4 linked regions of the Arabidopsis thaliana genome follow. The protein of the gene in region 4 interacts with the protein of the main gene of each other region in a pairwise test. Each region holds a gene or a part of one and is shown on either strand. Other genes may lie near its edges.

Region 1 (3,545 bases), on a different chromosome or scaffold from region 4:
CTTGGTCTTGCACGATGCTTTTTTTTTTTAGCGGACTTCAAATGTAAATTGTTTTGGGAAAAGATTTCTGGATGAAGACCGTAATTGTTATGGATTCGCATCCAAATGAGGCCGTAGTTACTCTGATGTGGGAAAGTTCTTTAAAATAAAGTTTCTTGCTACGAGTTTGTAGTTTCTTGTTTAGTACTACAACATATTGCAATCAAGACATTGATATTCTGTTTTTCTTATCGCAGAACACTGATGTAACTGAAGCTATTCAGAAGGTAGCTGCAGCTTATGACTGCAAAATTGTTGAAGGTGTTCTTTCCCACCAGCTGAAACAGCATGTGATAGATGGAAACAAGGTTGTGCTTAGTGTATCCAGCCCTGAAACAACTGTTGACGAAGTGGAATTTGAAGAGAATGAAGTCTATGCAATAGATATTGTGGCAAGTACTGGTGATGGCAAGGTAATTTCTTTTGTTTATCGCATCCCGATCACTATTGGTGAACCTTTGTCTATTGCCATTGTTCTCACAATCTTTGACTTTGCAGCCAAAGCTATTAGACGAGAAGCAAACAACTATTTACAAGAAAGATGAAAGTGTTAACTATCAGTTGAAGATGAAGGCCTCCAGATTCATAATCAGCGAAATTAAACAGAACTTCCCCCGTATGCCATTCACTGCAAGGTGTCTTTTGTACCTTCTGAAGCATTTTATATTCCTTAAACTATTATCTCACTTGCTAACGTTACCTGAGAGTATTATCAATACAGGTCACTGGAGGAGAAAAGGGCACGGCTTGGACTTGTGGAGTGTGTGAACCATGGTCATTTGCAACCATATCCTGTTCTTTACGAGAAGCCTGGTAAGGATGATGAAAGGGTTTTGAATCTATAAACCTCTTTTATCTGAATCTTGATATCAAGGCTCATGTCGTTTTGGTTTTCTACCAGGGGATTTTGTTGCTCAGATTAAGTTCACAGTTTTGCTGATGCCAAATGGATCAGATAGGATCACTTCACATACACTTCAGGAACTTCCTAAAAAGACCATCGAAGACCCTGAGATCAAAGGGTGGTTAGCTTTGGGCATCAAGAAGAAGAAAGGTGGTGGAAAGAAGAAGAAAGGTAAGAACTTAAAATAAATTTCCAGACTTTTACCTTATATGACGTGATCCACATGTTGATTAAAAAGGTTCAATTTGGTGTTTTGCAGCCCAAAAGGCGGGAGAGAAAGGAGAGGCTTCAACAGAGGCTGAGCCAATGGACGCAAGTAGTAATGCTCAAGAATGAGTAGGAAGATTTGTCTTTGTTTCTTTTAAAGAATTTTTGAAACTTGAGGTACCTCTTTCGTTGTATGTTTGGGTTTCAAGAGAGTCTCTTCTTAAACAAAAAAAAACAAACAATAGTTTACCACCTTTGTGCATATTTTTGCACAAAGCACTTTTCATCATCATTTCTTTGCTTGTCCTAATCTTATCTCATTCTCTAATCAAAAATACTTATCTGGTTTCAGGCTATAACAATAACTCTGTTTAGAAACACTTGTTACCAACAAACTACTCTTTGAATGTGTTTACGTGGTAAGGATTTGATCCCACAGAAGAGAAATATTTGTGACAGAAGAAAAAAACTCAGCTCTTCAATAATCGAAGCTTATACAGATTTTTGGATTGGTTGATTTTGAGATTGTAACGAATAGTAATCAGAATTTCACTTAAGAAATTGTGATTGAACCCTCTAAACCACAGAGAGGGTTCTTGACGTGGTCCATAGTTCTTCAGTGGGGCGGCTTGTGGCTTCTTTTTCATTTTTCCAGAAAACCCCATAAACCTCTCGCTCTCGGGAATTTGATTGATTCCCACGAGGAAAAATCAATCTTCCCGGAAAATGGCAGCTAGGTTATTGTTCCGTCGAAGTTCTCAAATCCTCCGATCAATTCAACGAAATCCTCAAATCTCATCGTCATTCGAATCACCACCTTGCCCGATTTTTCACTCATTGACCACCGCCTCACCAGATCCATCGCGATTATCATCCTTAACCTTCCTCCGATCTCTCTCCATCGCTCGTCGCGGTCCAACACGTCCTAAGAAAATCGATATCGGAGCCAAAGCGCGTCAGATGCAGAATCGCCGTTTATGGACCTACGCGCTAACCTTCAGCTGCATCGCCGGATTCGTAGTTATCGTCCTTAACCAATTTCAGGATCAGCTTGTCTTCTACCTAACGCCATCAGACGCTATGGAGAAATTCGCAGAGAATCCAACAAAGAACAAATTCAGACTCGGTGGTTTGGTTCTAGAAGGTAGCGTTGCGCAGCCGGCGGCGTCACAGGAGATGGAGTTTGTGATCACTGATCTGATCACTGATATTTTGGTTAGGTATAAAGGATCTTTGCCGGATCTGTTTAGGGAAGGTCATTCAGTTGTGGTTGAAGGATTCATTAAGCCGTATACAGATGAAGTAAGGAAGGAAGTTTCTACAAAACCTATTTCGAAGAAAGCTAGGAACCTCGATTGTTTCTTCTCGGCGACTGAAGTTTTGGCTAAGCATGATGAGAAGTATATGCCACAGGAAGTTGCGGCGGCGATTGAGAAGAATAAGAAAATTATTGAAGCGGCGGCGACTGAACAAGCTGCTGAAGTTGCGGCTTCTTAGATTGGTATAAACTTCATTCTTTTTAAGTTAATCAAAATTTTCCCCAAGTTCGAGCTTTTGGTGAGTATTGTTCATCTTATAAGGTTATATTTGATTATAGTTTCTGGAAAAGAGTAGGAAGATTGGAATGTTATATTCCTGGAAAACAGAGATTTGATTTTTGAGTCTATTTGAGAATTAAGTGGAGAAATGTGATACACTATACAATAGCTTTGTTTGATTCCACAAAGCTATAAGCTAATCTACTTTCTTGTTGTGTTGATCAAATAAAGAACACTTTGACGAGGGATCAAATATGCTGCTTGATTCATTGTGTTGTTGGATGTTTTGTTTGTTGTTGATGTGCACACAGATTAGAGAAGCTATGTTTTGTTGCTGCACACAGATTAGATTGATCTAGTGAATCTTATTAGCTTCATCAGGTCGTGGGTATATAATTGTAAACGTATCACCAAAGTTGTAGCTTGTGTGACCTTATTCTTATCATGACTAGGTACTATAGCCAAAAGAGTTGAACATACAGGTCTTTCAGAGCTTCCTCTTAGTTGTTCTGGAGGTTCCAAGCTCTTTCTTTGTTGTTTTATAAATATGGGTTGAGCTTGTTGACAATCTTGAAGATGGTCATGCATTCCTTTTATGCATCTTATGTTTCAACTAGGCAATTCTGGCCCTGGAGATTTCAAGTTTGTACTTTCTGAGTCGATTAGGTGCCTAGTTTTTGCCTCTAGAATCATGGCATTGGCTTCTGTTTTGGCACTTCTCTTAGGCTTGTTGGTTGATAACCAACTACTAGTCTACTAATGTAGCTGTAGTTTGAAGTGTTCCGCAGTTACGCTATTGCTTTTGCTTTTTTTAAGTGCATCTTTATATATGCATCAGTCTCTCATTGTATAGCAAA
Region 2 (5,875 bases), on a different chromosome or scaffold from region 4:
TGTTTAGTGGTTATTGGTTAGAATAAATTATGCATCATTATTGGTCATAAAAGATAGATAAAGTTTTTAACGAATAATAACAAAATAATTAATAGAAATGGTAAAAAAAAATAACAGTATACAAGTAGATATTAGTCTCTCTCTCTCTTTTTTTTTGTCTTTCAACAAATTGTTATGTGATTACAAATAGTTTTTTCTTTTTGTTTTCAAGAAACAGAAAATAAAAAATAATGATATACGATGACGAAGTACGGGTCTGGCCTGTTTTGATCAAAATCAGATCTACTCTTTGTTAACATTAAGAGATTGATGACTAGCCATCGGATCCATTCTCTTTGGTTTCATGGCCGATCATAGCTGATCTATTTCTTTGAATTTTAAGCTAGCATTCTATTAATGCTTTTATTTCATTGGTCCTCTCTTGTTGTAATCTCCTTTCAAACTATGTAGATAATTTTTTGTTGAATAAAATTTAACATTCCAAATTTCCAACCAAAAATCTAATATCTTAAGGTCATTTTGTTTCCTCCCGAGACCTTTCTTCACTTTAGGAGGTATTGAGACTCAATTCATCAAGCATCTAATCTAACGAGACAAATGAAATAAAAGTTTGGTTGCGGGTTGATGACTTTTGAAAGATGTGACAGTCTTGTTCTTTTCCTAAAAACTAGGAGTGGATATATCGTAAAAGTGTCTTAAGATGCCAAAGCTGAGAGAGTGAGTGTTGAACAACCTGCGTTGAATCATTGTAGTTCAACTTGTTTATATCCAACAATATTCATAGAGAGACATAACCTTATGTCATTCCATTTAGTTTGTAGAAGTAGAGAAGATTCGAACATGCATCTTTAAATAAACGAAGAATGGGAATTTAAAGAGAATGCAAAGAAAGAAAAGTAGAGTAGAGGCCAAGAAACATAAACTAGATTATACATCTCTCGACGATTCTACTTATTATTTATCTCTTAAGAAATTTATGCATATCCCCCAACAAAACCAAAAACATAAGATTTTCAAATGTAAAAATGTCGATGAAACATACAAAATTTGGCAGTGAAAGAGTGAAAATCAGCTTCGTCGGCCAAAGATTTGTCTGTCGCCAACCAAAATATTAATATTAATGGTTACAAACAAAGTATGGGGGTTTCTTGGCTGGGGCATGGTGCTAATCATTATCCAGAAAATTCAAACAAACTGTCACAGAACTCAGCACTCACATTTAATGAAAACTTTGTATTTGTTCAGTCGAATAAATTAACGTGTAGTGTTTCAAAATGTGTTAAATCAATACTTCATCATGTGATTGTCTTGATTTTATGAGTTTATCTAACTAATAAAGCTATTTTCACAGTAAAAATAGAGGCAAATCATTTGGTGGAAATAGACCATATTTTCAGCATATTTCTACATCTTGATTGACTTTTCCAACATCAATAAATATGTTTTTGCAGCACAGTTTTCAAATATAGAATTTCTGTGGTATGAACCATAGTGAATATGTGCATCTTATCCATATATAAACTAAAATGTATAAAAATATACAATCTTGTTTAACAATACAATCAGACTGTAAACAAAAAAAATTCAATAGATATGATTGATTAATACATGTGAAACTTAGGCATACGACTTTTGAGCGAACCGAACCGTTCGGTTTGGATAATTGGTTTTTCGAGTATCTAGTTAGGAGATAAGACTGCCAAATTTAACCGAACAAAAATTCGGTTTGGATCGGTTCAGTTATCAGTTAACTCAGTTCGGTAATGTGTCTCAAATCCATACAAAAATTTGGTTTGTATAGCAATTTTAAAGAATTTTGGTATTAGTTTATAAAATTGGATATGATTTGTTTATATTAGTTTAAAAAATTAGAAAAAATGGTTAAAAGATTGTTCGATTAACCGTACCTAACCAATAGGAAAAGTTACCGATCGGACCACTTCTATTAATCGACTGGTTAACCGAACACTCAAATCTCAATTAGGTTCTGTTCGAAAACACATCGGAAATGACGACAGGAAAAAAAAAAAAAAACACACACACATCGACGTAGTTGTAGTAGAATCGATCCAAAAATGTTAAGTAGATATTTTCCAGATAGGATTGTTGATGAAAGGGGCAGATGAAGAATGTGTGGCTCTCCTCTCTTTCACAACACTCCACAAAACCCTTTGTCTCCTCCTCATTTGGAGATGTCACTAACTCATCTTCTCTGATTCACCAACATCCTAAAACCCTTTTGATCAAAACATGGCTTCCATTTCCAGAATCTTACCAACAGATGGCAGATTAAGTCAATGCAGAATCAACACCTCGTGGGTTCCTTCTACAACCAGAACTCAAACTCACTTAGGTATCTATCCTTTATACTTCTCTGGTTTCAGATTTCTAAGAGTCAATTTGCTGAATCATATATTTTTCTTCAGATTTTCCCAAGTTAGTTTCTGTTAGTAACTCTGGGATAAGTTTGAGGATTCAGAATAGTAAACCTATTAGCCCTGTCTTTGCTCTTGAAGCAACTTCCTCCAGGTATTGTAATTTGGTGAATGTGTAAACAAGTTTAAGGATTTGGGTTTATTAAAAATTGTAATTTTTACAGGAGGGTTGTTTGCAAAGCTGCTGCTGGTGTGTCAGGTGACTTACCTGAGAGTACTCCTAAGGAACTTAGTCAGTATGAGAAGATTATTGAGCTTTTGACAACCCTTTTTCCACTTTGGGTACTTATGCTATACCTTTCTTTGATGAAGTTTGAAACTTTTTGTGAGTTTGATAACTGATATGGAGCAATGTGGTTTTTGTTTGTTGTGCAGGTTATTTTGGGAACACTTGTTGGCATCTTCAAGCCATCCTTGGTATGCTTTTTATGCTTCTTTGTTATTGTTTATTTACTGTAGCAATCTATGTTTTTGGGGCTTATAGATTTAAGTTTTGTAGGTTACATGGTTGGAAACAGATCTCTTTACTCTAGGTCTTGGATTTCTTATGCTTTCCATGGGTTTGACTCTTACGTTTGAAGATTTCAGAAGATGTTTACGTAATCCATGGACGGTGAGAGCCAATGAACACTGGTGTGTTTTTTCTATCTGTTAGATACAGTACCTGTTTAACGTTTAGAGTCTTTCTCCTGCAGGTGGGTGTTGGTTTTCTTGCTCAATATATGATCAAGCCAATTCTAGGTTTTCTCATTGCAATGGTATGTTTCCACTAATGTCTATCACATTTACTTCTATTTGCTTCTCTGAAATGGATGCTTATGCAATATTCTATTTTGTTTAAGATATTGGTTCTCTTCGTCCGTTTTTACTTCTATGGGCTGTATACGCTTTAGCCAAATCAAATGTTGATTGGAATATTCTTTCTTTGATTAACTTAGATCCAAGAGTCGTTGCATGTCCAAACATCACTTTTTCTTGAAACGTTTGAATCAAATATTTGCTTTCTAGTTACTGTAGAAACAATTCCTGGCATACTCACTTACTCCTTGAGGGATTTCTCTTGTAGAGAGGATTGATATGGACATATGCTATGTGCATTTGGAAACACTACATTTGGTTAACATTAATTGTTGAGCAGCCAACTAATACAAACTTTTTCTGTGTGTTTTATTTTAGACTCTTAAGCTTTCGGCACCTCTTGCGACTGGCCTTATCCTAGTCTCATGCTGCCCTGGAGGACAGGCGTCAAACGTTGCTACTTACATTTCCAAGGGGAATGTAGCGCTCTCTGTACTCATGACAACGTAATCCTTCTATTTTCACTTCTTTCTCTTTTCGTTCTTTAATTTTATTGGTCAGATTTCATATACATTATCTGTTCTTTAATTTATTAGGTGTTCAACCATTGGGGCTATTATAATGACTCCTCTTCTTACTAAGCTTCTTGCTGGTCAGCTTGTTCCCGTTGACGCTGCTGTGAGTTTTCTCTATAACTATTTTGAATCGTTTCATTCAAAATTGCATTGATAAGATACATTTCTTTTTATGTATGAAATATAAGATACATTTCACTTAGCTAAAATATGAATAATCATGGTTCAGTAAAAGTTATTGAATGATTTAAAGTAGAATGAAGCGCAAGAACTCTATTAGAATATAGTTGCAGCCCTCCACAACGAAAGCTTATGGATCCATTTTTTTACGTCAGGGACTTGCTCTTAGTACGTTCCAAGTAGTGTTGGTTCCTACCATAATTGGAGGTAAGTATGGTGCTACGTGTTTCCGGAAAAATGAATTTGTGCTTATATATCCTTAGGGACTAATGTCTTTTTCTGCATTGTGTGCAGTTCTGGCAAATGAGTTCTTTCCTAAATTTACGTCTAAGATCATAACAGTGACGCCTCTAATCGGAGTCATTCTGACTACTCTGCTCTGTGCCAGCCCTGTAAGTTCATATATCCAGATATATATATTTTTTTTATTGAATTTTGAGACTGGAATTGGTATTGATTACTACCTTATCTCTTCTGAAAAGATTGGACAAGTTGCAGATGTTTTGAAAACCCAAGGAGCTCAACTTATACTCCCGGTGGCACTCCTTCATGCTGCAGCCTTTGCTATTGGCTATTGGATTTCAAAGTTTTCTTTCGGCGAGTCCACTTCGCGTACCATTTCTATAGAATGTGGAATGCAAGTAAGTTACTTTCTCCTATACCGTAGATATACATTGCCGTTTGCTTTACTAAGGCTTCTTTTTGAAAATCTGTGTACTTTGCAAACCGCAGAGTTCAGCGCTCGGGTTCTTGCTTGCACAAAAGCATTTCACAAACCCTCTAGTTGCTGTTCCTTCTGCAGTCAGTGTTGTCTGTATGGCGGTAAGTTTTCATAGCCATTTCACTAAAGTTCACATGCAAATTCCTTAAGTTTAATTATGTTCAATGGCATTCTGCAGCTTGGCGGGAGCGGCCTGGCCGTGTTCTGGAGAAACCTACCGATTCCGGCAGATGACAAGGATGACTTCAAAGAGTAAATGAAGTAGGAAAGGCGGTTTGCATCTTCTCCAAACGATGTGATTGTTTTGTTGTAATGTTAGTAAACATTACAAAATTTGTGTTGAAAAACATGAAACAAAATGTGTTTAAGAGACATAGAAACAAGGGCGTGCATGATGACAACTTTGTGGTCAACCTTTTTTTTATTTCTCAATTAATGGACAAATCTTTTTTGGCACACCTTCTCCAAATTTTGAATCTAAGTTTCAGATTGGGATTAGCGTTGTTCCCGGAATCCTGTCTACTCTCACAATGCACTCCCTCATTTCCAGCCATGACTTCTCTTAGCTCATATACGTCTTTTGTCAGCAATGATAAGTTTTGATGTTTTTAGCATTAGGTGGTTTTGGTGAATTTTCATTTTAAATTAGATTTGAGTGTTTCCTTTTCTGATGAAAACACAACTTCCAACAATTAACATAAGTAAACATGTAAAGTTGATTGGAATGTGGCCAGTTGATCTCGGTTTCAATAAGGTGAAGAGTCTCATTGTATTTTGGTCTTTACATGATTGGAATAGTACTATGCTTCTGGAGTTCTGGTCTCAGTGTATAAATGGTGGTAAAAAATGTTTTCAGTTTACAGTAAAAAATGTTTAGCTATATTTTAACATTTCTTTTACTGTAGAATGTTTCCCATATAGATTTTCTGTTTTTTTTTTAATTAGTAATATTTTTAGTTTTCATATTTTTTTAATATACGTGCTAATTCATTTGTTGAAAGAGCCAAAGAAATAGTAATCTAGACAATTATACATTTTGACACACGTTTAATCCGCGTTAAAGGAACAGAAGAATTGATGATGATTGCATTTGCACCGGAGAGACACCGAATCAAAAATGGCCTTTAGCCTTTAACCCTCTCAAACAAAGTCGTCACACTGTAAAA
Region 3 (6,996 bases), on a different chromosome or scaffold from region 4:
AAGTAAAGACTGGTAAATCAGAGATATCGAAAAGGTATAACATGGTAAAACTGAACAAGAAAAGTTGGTTCTTGATACACACTTGGTTTCTGAGCTCCATTATCTGTGGCTCCTTCTCCAAGTTGTCTCCTGTTACATTTGATCAAATGGAAAGTTCTAGATTTCTGGATTGAACTAAAGTTTCCTGTAGAATTACATGAACCATAGAGTACTTACTAGCTAGCTGCAATGTTTCTCTACGGAGCTCATCTTTGATCTGACGGACAGAAACAAATCACGAAAAAATTAACGTCCAGAGACTATAACAAGGAACCAGAAAGCTGATGACATGATACAGGCTTTATCAAACAATATCAATGTATAGACTTGAAAGAGCACTAATGAATTATATCAACACAGAACTAAAGAAGCTACATATTCTTAGAGCTACAGATAAGACCCTCGGTTATCCAGAAACAACCGACTGTTTTAGAGACTATAACAAAGAACCAGAAAGCTCTAATTACTGGCAACATGTAGAAGATGACGCCATGATAAAGGCTTCCTCAAACAATATCAATGTATATACTTGAAAGAGCACCAATGAATAATATCAACACATAACTAACGAAGCTCCATTCTTAGGACTACAATTAATAGTAATACTCTTAGCTATCCAGAAACAACTGACTGTTTTAGAGACTTACATTATTCTGGACTTTGACCTGGTCAAGAGAGAGCAGAAATTGCTGATACGCATCTTTGTCAGAGAGAAGCTTCCTGAGTTCATCCACGCTACAGAAAAGTATACACTATTCAAAAAGAAGACATACAAAAAAAACGCACACTCGAGAGAAGGATAACAAACAAACAAACAAAAAGAGCAAACCTTTTGTCTTTCAAGAAGACGATAATGCCAGCTGCTTCACCCGGTGATACTTGTGCTGAAATCTGACCTGAACTTTGAGGCCGGGATGAGCTTGGCGAGCTAACTAAAGAAGGCGAGTACCATGGCGACTGTGAAGAAGCTTCCTGAGGACGAGATTGCCCTTGTTGTTGGTCTTTTGATCCCCTTCACGTACACAACAAAAAAAAGAAACATCATCAACTAACTATCTCAGCTTCCAAGTTAATATAATACATCACCTCATAAACTTGAAAGGTGCATTTATACAGCACATCATTGTAAACCTAATATCAGTAACTATGAACCCTAAATCAGTAGCTGAGCAAAATCTACACTTGTCAATTCACCTCAAAAACCTCAAATATATCATTATAGCTCAACAAACTACACAACAACAAGATTTCCTTAATCGCTAACAGACCTAATGTCTGGATCACGCAATTTCATCAATAACATATGAATCAGATGGCAAAAAATTCGCAAAATCATACCAGAAATTGAACATCGTTTCTAGAATTCGCCGACTAACGAAAGGAATTGACTTTTTCTTGTTCTCTTGTACTTCTTCTTCCTACCAGATCGACAAAATTTAACAACTTTACAGAAACAGAGTTTACAGAGTTTCAAAGAAAATTCGATCTTCTCTGTTTCGTTTCAGATTTTGCTACTTGCTTTTAAAAGGCCCAAATACGAGGAGGCCCATATTAAGTTTTGATTAACAAAACGTAGTCGTTTTATGCATCGTCGTCCTTATCCACGCGTAACGGTTCGCGTTTCTACACAGAGTCAAATATTTCTGCACGGAAGCTTCGAAAAGAGGTCATCAATGGAGTCTTCACTCTTTTCTCCATCTTCCTCTTCTTACTCTTCTCTCTTCACTGCAAAACCTACGCGTCTTTTATCACCAAAACCCAAATTCACATTCTCCATCAGATCCTCCATTGAGAAACCCAAACCCAAACTCGAGACCAATTCATCGAAATCCCAATCATGGGTCAGTCCCGATTGGCTCACAACACTCACTCGTACCCTTTCCTCAGGAAAAAACGACGAGTCAGGTATACCAATCGCGAACGCGAAGCTCGACGATGTCGCTGATCTCCTCGGAGGTGCTCTCTTCTTACCTCTCTACAAATGGATGAATGAGTACGGACCCATTTACCGTCTCGCTGCTGGTCCTCGTAATTTCGTAATTGTGAGCGACCCAGCGATAGCTAAACATGTTTTGAGGAATTATCCAAAGTACGCTAAAGGCTTAGTCGCTGAAGTCTCTGAATTTCTATTTGGTTCGGGTTTCGCTATCGCTGAAGGACCTCTTTGGACAGTAATTTCATCTCCTCCTATCTCAATTTTGAAGTTTTTGGAATTGTGGAAGTAATGTGTGACTGTCTTGTATGATAAGTAACTCTAATTTTAGGGTTTAGATTCCAATCTTCTCTATTGGGCTTAGCTGAAGTCTGATTTTTTACATAGGCGAGGCGTAGAGCGGTGGTTCCATCGCTTCACAGGAGGTATTTGTCTGTGATTGTGGAGAGAGTATTCTGCAAATGTGCAGAGAGGCTTGTTGAGAAGTTGCAGCCTTATGCAGAAGACGGAAGTGCTGTGAATATGGAAGCGAAGTTCTCTCAGATGACACTTGATGTCATTGGGTTGTCTCTTTTTAACTACAATTTCGATTCTTTGACTACTGATAGTCCTGTCATTGAAGCTGTTTACACTGCTCTTAAAGAAGCTGAGCTTCGTTCTACTGATCTTCTGCCATATTGGAAGGCAAGTTTCCTGTGTTTTTTCTGTGGTTTGTTGATTGTGTGGAACAATTGGATTCTTGTTAATTGAGAGGGTTTGGTTGTTTTTTTCAGATCGATGCATTGTGTAAGATAGTCCCGAGACAGGTGAAAGCTGAAAAGGCTGTAACTTTGATAAGGGAAACTGTTGAAGACCTTATTGCTAAGTGTAAAGAAATTGTCGAAAGAGAAGGCGAAAGAATCAATGATGAGGAGTATGTAAATGATGCTGACCCAAGTATCCTGCGTTTCTTGCTTGCAAGCAGAGAAGAGGTTTAAACTTTTTTCCTTAAGTTTATAAGCAAATTTGGCCTTTCATTATCGCATAATCGAAGCTGATGTTGCATTGTGAGGGTTTTCAGGTATCAAGTGTGCAGTTACGGGATGATCTTCTCTCAATGCTCGTAGCGGGTCATGAAACCACTGGATCTGTCCTCACTTGGACACTTTATCTCCTAAGTAAGGTACCTTAATGTATCTTCTACTTTGCTATGCTAGAGAATTTACTTGGATGGGAGCTTCTCTGTTCTCATTTACCTCTTCAAATTCTCTATGTTCATAGAACTCATCTGCATTAAGGAAAGCACAAGAAGAAGTAGACAGAGTGTTAGAAGGAAGAAACCCGGCTTTCGAGGATATAAAGGAGTTGAAGTACATCACTCGTTGTATAAACGAGTCAATGCGTCTCTATCCTCATCCTCCTGTAAGCAATCAAGCTCATCTCTCTAATTATTCATGAACTAAATTTTCTGATTGATTTGTTTCCTGGTAGGTCTTGATAAGAAGAGCTCAAGTTCCTGACATTCTTCCTGGGAACTATAAGGTCAATACCGGACAAGACATTATGATTTCAGTCTATAACATCCATCGTTCTTCCGAGGTACAGTTCTCTTCCTTCTCTCGTCCATAGTATAACATAGGGGAGCCTAATCCTTCTCTTCAATGATCTTTGTGTGGTTCGGATATCTAACCGGAGTGGACATTCCTAGTATTACATTCATGCCCACATTTCTTATGTGTTTGTTGTTTGTTATTCCAAAGGTATGGGAAAAAGCTGAGGAATTTCTGCCTGAACGATTCGACATAGATGGCGCAATCCCTAACGAAACAAACACTGATTTCAAGTAAACTCAGTAGAACACATCTTTTGACACAAACTACTGAATCAAGATTAGTGGTTTTGATTAGGGAATTTAAAAGATGATTTTCTTTTTTCACCAGATTCATCCCATTCAGTGGAGGGCCTAGAAAATGTGTAGGCGATCAGTTTGCATTGATGGAGGCAATTGTGGCACTCGCGGTGTTTCTTCAGCGGTTAAACGTTGAGCTGGTTCCTGATCAGACCATTAGCATGACCACAGGAGCAACCATACACACCACCAATGTATGCCAATGTTCTCACACTCGAGAGATTAATGAGAGTGTCTGTTTTGTTTAGAATGATTCCAATTTCTCTAATGCTGATATTTTCAATTTCAGGGATTGTATATGAAGGTGAGCCAAAGGTAAAAACCAGAATTTATGTTTTCATGATAATTGATTGGTGTGAATGGACTTGTTTCATAGTACTCTTGAGAAATAACCACAAAAAAATGAATTATGGAAAATAGTTGTACCATCGGAAATGTGAATTTTGAACAGTGAGATGCTAGTACCATTAAAGTTTGGTAATTGTGTTATCATTTCAAATCAAACTTTCATACAGCTTGTGTTTGTTCTCCATTTTTCAGTAATTACGAAAATCAAAATTTTATTTTTTTTTGAATTTCTAAATAATAGACTAAGGTCTAAAACCATCCCATTCCATATGGACCACACGTAACATTAACCTTAAAAACCATATAAAACCATATAAAACCAATACTAGTGGGTTCTATAGCGATGTGTAGTTTCACTTTCACGTACGAGGAAGATTAAAAAAAATGGAGAACGAAAGCTCAGAGAGTAGAAACAGAGCTCGTCTTGCCATTATGGAGCTTGCTAACATGATTAGCGTTCCCATGTCTCTCAATGCCGCCGTGCGACTAGGCATTGCCGACGCCATTTGGAACGGCGGAGCCAATTCTCCTCTCTCTGCCGCCGAGATCCTCCCTCGCCTCCACCTACCATCTCACACTACCATTGGTGGCGACCCCGAGAATCTTCAGCGTATACTTCGGATGCTCACCAGCTACGGTGTCTTCTCCGAACACCTTGTTGGATCCATTGAGAGGAAATACTCTCTTACGGACGTCGGAAAAACTCTTGTAACCGACTCCGGCGGCCTCTCTTACGCTGCCTACGTCCTCCAACATCACCAGGTTTATGACTCATTTTCATTTTCCAAAATTGGAGTGATATATTAAAGGACTAATGATGGTATAATAAACTAATGTCTAAAACTTGTTGTGAAAATGATATATATTACAGGAGGCGTTGATGCGAGCATGGCCACTAGTTCACACGGCAGTGGTGGAGCCGGAGACAGAGCCGTACGTGAAAGCAAACGGCGAGGCGGCATACGCTCAGTATGGGAAAAGTGAGGAGATGAATGGTCTAATGCAAAAGGCAATGTCTGGCGTATCTGTACCGTTCATGAAAGCTATATTAGACGGCTACGATGGGTTTAAATCAGTGGATATTTTGGTTGACGTAGGAGGTAGTGCAGGGGATTGTCTGCGTATGATCCTTCAACAATTTCCTAACGTCCGTGAAGGGATTAATTTCGATTTACCTGAAGTTGTTGCCAAAGCCCCCAATATTCCTGGTGAGATTTTGTATTTATGATATATTGTACGTACGTTATTTTCTGAAAGTAAAAAGCTATTTTTAGTAATGTACGGAGTAATAATGGATGATATATTGTATGGTTTAGGAGTGACTCACGTGGGTGGGGATATGTTCCAATCAGTTCCTAGCGCTGACGCTATCTTCATGAAGGTTTGTTGTAACATTATTGTCTGTCACGAGAATACACCTACTAACATTTTTGCTAATAGGACGAATTCTAGTTTCTGTATATAGTTTTAATGTTTAGTGATATAGGTATAAATTTATAAGTCGCTTCGGACAATATGTTTGGTAGTATATAGTCTTAGTTATCGTTAGATCATGCGACTGGTCACTTTCATTTATTTATGATCATTTAAATATTGATTATACATTTCTCAAACCAAAAACTTGTGATCTGTTAGACCATGGATAGGGATCTCATGTTTGTTGAAAGAACAACACAAACAAATACACACATTTTTTGCTTCTCTGGTCCCAAATTAATATCTTGTAATATTGTTGTTTGAGTGTAAAGTGGGTGTTAACGACATGGACGGATGAAGAATGCAAGCAGATAATGAAGAATTGCTACAACGCGTTACCAGTTGGAGGAAAGCTGATTGCGTGTGAGCCGGTCTTGCCTAAGGAAACCGATGAAAGTCACCGGACTCGTGCCTTGTTAGAAGGTGACATCTTTGTCATGACCATCTATAGAACCAAAGGTAAGCATAGAACCGAAGAAGAGTTTATAGAGCTTGGTCTCTCCGCGGGATTCCCTACTTTTCGACCTTTCTACATTGATTACTTCTACACCATCTTAGAGTTTCAGAAGTAATATTCAAGCATTTTTCTTCTCATATTTCTAAAAGCTTCAAAATAATGAATCAAAAGACCTCTTTGTTAATTGAGTTGAGATATCTAGTGAAGACATTAATATTTTCATCAAGATGTAATAATCTAAAGTCTATATTCTAAGTGCATCCTTAAAAGGCATTTTCCATATATATAAGTTTCATCTTTCGAGAAAAAGGAAAAAAGACTCTTTAAGTGATGATTTCAAGAGTATTTCTAAATCACTCATTAGGCTAAGAGAAGAGTTCGAAAGTATACATATTATGCACATTATATCTATATGAATTTTTCTTCTTTGGCAAAAAGAAAAATCGTTTGGTGTTATTCTTATAAATCTTATGTCAACTTCTACATTCGATTTTTCTACACGAGACTCAATTGCTCCAAAACATCTTGGATTAAAATTGAAACGTTAATACTCGAAGATCCCTTTTCTTCCACAGCCTTTTTCGCCATTACTGCAAGTTCTTGAATACGTCTCCTTCGTCTCACGAATTCATTATCATCATCATTTTCGTCTACACGTTGACAATCTTGGTCCATCAAAAGCTTTATAGCTTTCACAACACTCGGTTTCTTGACCAACACTCCAAGTCTCTCCTCGTCTCCCCATCTCACCGGAATCTCCACCCCAACCCTAACCCCGATGTTCAAAACCTCCACGATGAGTTTCTCATTGAGAAATTGTTCAGCGAACAACGGCCATGTGATCATTGGTACACC
Region 4 (3,190 bases):
ATCTTCATTTGGCCTAAAACCTCTAAAGTTTTCTCGAAATTTACAGCCTCAAGGAATGCATGAAATGTATCAACTGTTGGACTAAGGTTCTCACTAATCATGGTTGCCAATACATTCCTGGCTACGTCCAGCTTTCCAGCCTCACAAAGGGGGCGTATCATCGAGTTGTAGGTCACTGAATCTGGCTTTAATCCTTCCTCGTTCAACTTTTTCATAAGCTTCATAGCTTCATCAAAGCAATCCTCACGGGTCAACACATAAACCAAGGAATTGTAAACTTCAATCCCTGGAGCCAATCCCCGTTTCTTCATTTCATCGTATAGCCTGAGAGAATCAAAAAGGTTCCCAACTTTAGAGAAGCAAGAGATCATGTGACTGTAAGAGTCCTTGTTAGGCGTGATACAGTAATTCCCCATCTCTCGCCAAATCCTCTTTGCTTCAGTCACATCAGTCCAAATGTTACACCAACCATTAAGAATTACGTTGAATCCCTCAACATCCACCGGAAAGAGCTTTTTGCTTGCAAGCATGAACTCTTCAGCTTTTTCAATGTGGCCATGTCTACACAATGCACATAGCAATCCTTGAAATGCTTCATCATAAGGAGTGTGTTTAAACTTATCCATAATATCAAATGTCCGAATAGCTTGGCTAGTATCATTAGCAGCAGCATATCTACATCAACACCGTCACCAAGACAACCAATTCAATACCTAGCTAGTAAATCTTTCAATTTAGCACAACAAAAGAGAAACTTTTATCAAGAAGACGAAACCGAACCTGTCCATCATGAGAAACATGGCCTTTCTAGTATCCTTTGAAACATTAAACATATCACGGATCAAACACCAAGCAATGTTGAACTTTTGATGATTACCCAACACCCAGATCATCAAATCACAAGATTTCTGATCATCACAGCCGCGTTTCTCTCCCCATTTGAATGCTAGAAAGGCAAGCCTCCATTCATCTCTTAATTCCCAGATTAAGGAGTAGAAAGAATCATGATTTAGATCAAATGATGAGTCCTCCAGAGAAGCCATGGCATCCGCCTCTGACTCCAGCTCAGAGACCTGTCTGATTAAATCAATCAGACCCTTTTCTAACGGAGCCAATGCTGTTAAGTTGATATCAAATGTTTCGGAGATGGTTTTGGTGGAGAAGCGATTAGAAGAGGCAAAATGTGGGAGATAGCTTAAAACTTGAGAATGCACATGACCTGCTCGATGAAATGCTGAAGAGAAGGAATGATTTTGGGAAACTGAGCTCGAAAACGACGTCGACACTGCACGACGTAGCAGAGATTGATGCTGAACAATCCGCCATTGTGGCGTTCGCGCGAGTTTCCTACCAATGGCAACGATCGCGGCCATAGCGAGTGAGTGAGAAGGCTTAAATTAATACATTTCAAACATGGTCTTAATGGGATGAGGATATGAAGTTAATGGGGTCAAAAACGAATATATAGATAATATGGGGTCTAATATGGTAATAAACAAAGTAACACTAATATGAATGGGCCTAAATAGGGCCCATTTTAGATTTCTTTAAAAGATCCGAGAGAGAGAGGGATCTAATTCCTGATAAACCCTAGAAGAAGAAGAAGAAGAAGAAGAAGAAGAAGAAGAAGAAGAAGAAGAAGCAAAACCTGTGGAGATCGAGATGGGAAATGAGAGCAAGAGCAATTTGGGAGGAGGAGGAATTAGGGCAAAGATGGAGCACTATGTCTACAGTGGGGAGAAGAAGCACGTTTTGGCTGGGATCGGGATTATCTCCATCATCTTCGGAATCCCTTGGTATCTAATGAATCAAGGTTCGTTTTCTCTGGGCGATTTAGATTGAAATATATAAATAGATGTTTCTCTGTAGATTCCGAAATGGAAGAGGATGATGATATCAATAGCTGAAAGATTTAGAATCTAAAGTTTCTAACTTTATATTTCTTGGCAAATGCAATCAAGTGGTCGATCAAATAGAGTTTGATTATATGATAATGATGAGTCACAATGTTTATTCTGTTTGGATCATAATAGACTTGCATGATCACATTTTTTACCAAGTTTGTTTGCTTTTTCCCCTGATGATCACACATCGATTCAATTGCATAATCTCAATGGTTAAATATCTTATTTGCTATATGTGACATTTGGTAATATTCTCCTTGTTTTGTTCATTATATAGGCTAATTGTTTCTCTTATTGGCTTTTGTTGTTTGGTAAATCTGGTTTGTTTCAGGATCAAAGCATCGTTCTCACCAAGATTACTTGGAAAAAGCTGATAAAGCTCGAAAAGCTCGTCTCTCATCATCTTCATCCTCGGATAAGTAGTCATCTCCCCCCACTTGGATGGAGACTCTAGTCAACTACATTTTGTGAATGGATCCATACATCATCGTTTCCATGTCTATAAACTCAGCCATGTCTGTTCTAGAGTGTGGTTCAGTTCAGATATGTATCTTTACACTCTACACTTAGGTTTCTTTATCGAAGATATGTAAATTTGCGATAAGTTAAAGGATTCATCCTTTACGATACTGTTGTGTGAGCTGTGAGTTTCGACTAGGACAATCCATAAAGTGAAAGATCAAGATGAGTCTGGTATGGTTTGCTTAATAATCTTTCAGTAACCCAAAAAAAAAATACACGGGGTTTTATCTTGTAAAGGTCACAGGCGATTAATGTATAGATTTAAGCAACATAAACAGTAAAACAATCGTCTACGTGTCAGGGTAGTTATGTCTTCACAGAGGCATGAGTCTTCTACGTTTGTAGTACCAGAGGAATGCCAAAAATACAACAAGGCCACACACTCCAGTAATGGCTAAAACCCATTTGAAAGCACCAGGCTTTTCAAAGAAGTCTATCTCAAAATTCATCCCAAAGATCCCGGCTACAACCCCGAAGATGGCTACAACGAATGTGGCAGTAGTTAGCAGCAGCTCGAATTGGATCAGCTGATTCCGTACGTTATCCTGCAAATTCCAGAAATTTTCAGCAGATTCTTAAGGTTTTCTAAGCAAATAAGATATCTAAAAAAGATCAAGATTTCAAGGTATACCAATTGAATGTTGATGAAATCTTCGGTATCATCGATGTACTCCTTTAACTGAAGAGTAAAGAGAGTTGCAGGTGATTAAACCGCTTTTAAAAGCTGTTAAAACAAGATGATGAATGATCACAAAGGCGAGGTT

Evidence for each region.
Region 1: the proteins of AT1G80890 (region 4) and G1 interact in a protein complementation assay, tested with the Arabidopsis thaliana proteins (one large-scale study listed by BioGRID).
Region 2: the proteins of AT1G80890 (region 4) and BASS2 interact in a protein complementation assay, tested with the Arabidopsis thaliana proteins (one large-scale study listed by BioGRID).
Region 3: the proteins of AT1G80890 (region 4) and LUT1 interact in a protein complementation assay, tested with the Arabidopsis thaliana proteins (one large-scale study listed by BioGRID).

What each region holds. Positions count from the first base shown.
Region 1 is NC_003074.8:19,208,995-19,212,539, reverse strand, and holds G1 (transmembrane protein G1P-related 1), read left to right. Parts: upstream 1-1,690; 5' UTR 1,691-1,876; coding exon 1,877-2,647; 3' UTR 2,648-3,025; downstream 3,026-3,545. Other genes in the region: ATG2 (metallopeptidase M24 family protein), read left to right, coding at 237-452, 538-674, 761-852, 914-1,114, 1,203-1,279. UniProt on the Arabidopsis thaliana protein: Heme-binding chaperone that may be involved in cytochrome c maturation in mitochondria.
Region 2 is NC_003071.7:11,474,246-11,480,120, reverse strand, and holds BASS2 (Sodium Bile acid symporter family), read left to right. Parts: upstream 1-1,978; 5' UTR 1,979-2,250; coding exon 2,251-2,353; intron 2,354-2,426; coding exon 2,427-2,529; intron 2,530-2,599; coding exon 2,600-2,717; intron 2,718-2,810; coding exon 2,811-2,852; intron 2,853-2,934; coding exon 2,935-3,048; intron 3,049-3,130; coding exon 3,131-3,193; intron 3,194-3,611; coding exon 3,612-3,739; intron 3,740-3,829; coding exon 3,830-3,911; intron 3,912-4,143; coding exon 4,144-4,195; intron 4,196-4,282; coding exon 4,283-4,380; intron 4,381-4,470; coding exon 4,471-4,629; intron 4,630-4,720; coding exon 4,721-4,810; intron 4,811-4,887; coding exon 4,888-4,965; 3' UTR 4,966-5,369; downstream 5,370-5,875.
Region 3 is NC_003074.8:19,691,100-19,698,095, forward strand, and holds LUT1 (Cytochrome P450 superfamily protein), read left to right. Parts: upstream 1-1,657; 5' UTR 1,658-1,712; coding exon 1,713-2,210; intron 2,211-2,359; coding exon 2,360-2,656; intron 2,657-2,745; coding exon 2,746-2,943; intron 2,944-3,032; coding exon 3,033-3,134; intron 3,135-3,232; coding exon 3,233-3,373; intron 3,374-3,442; coding exon 3,443-3,550; intron 3,551-3,711; coding exon 3,712-3,794; intron 3,795-3,891; coding exon 3,892-4,054; intron 4,055-4,149; coding exon 4,150-4,179; 3' UTR 4,180-4,592; coding exon of another isoform or gene 4,593-4,970; intron 4,971-5,079; coding exon of another isoform or gene 5,080-5,416; intron 5,417-5,524; coding exon of another isoform or gene 5,525-5,589; intron 5,590-5,956; coding exon of another isoform or gene 5,957-6,256; 3' UTR 6,257-6,443; downstream 6,444-6,996. Other genes in the region: VPS37-1 (Modifier of rudimentary (Mod(r)) protein), read right to left, coding at 83-129, 217-256, 687-774, 869-1,051, 1,378-1,391; AT3G53140 (O-methyltransferase family protein), read left to right, coding at 4,593-4,970, 5,080-5,416, 5,525-5,589, 5,957-6,256; UGT73D1 (UDP-glucosyl transferase 73D1), read right to left, coding at 6,637-6,996. UniProt on the Arabidopsis thaliana protein: Heme-containing cytochrome P450 involved in the biosynthesis of xanthophylls. Specific for epsilon- and beta-ring hydroxylation of alpha-carotene. Has only a low activity toward the beta-rings of beta-carotene.
Region 4 is NC_003070.9:30,395,549-30,398,738, forward strand, and holds AT1G80890 (GAG1At protein), read left to right. Parts: upstream 1-1,579; 5' UTR 1,580-1,662; coding exon 1,663-1,813; exon of another isoform or gene 1,814-2,235; coding exon 2,236-2,327; 3' UTR 2,328-2,662; downstream 2,663-3,190. Other genes in the region: AT1G80880 (Tetratricopeptide repeat (TPR)-like superfamily protein), read right to left, coding at 1-675, 781-1,373; MGT1 (magnesium transporter 1), read right to left, coding at 2,741-2,971, 3,058-3,105.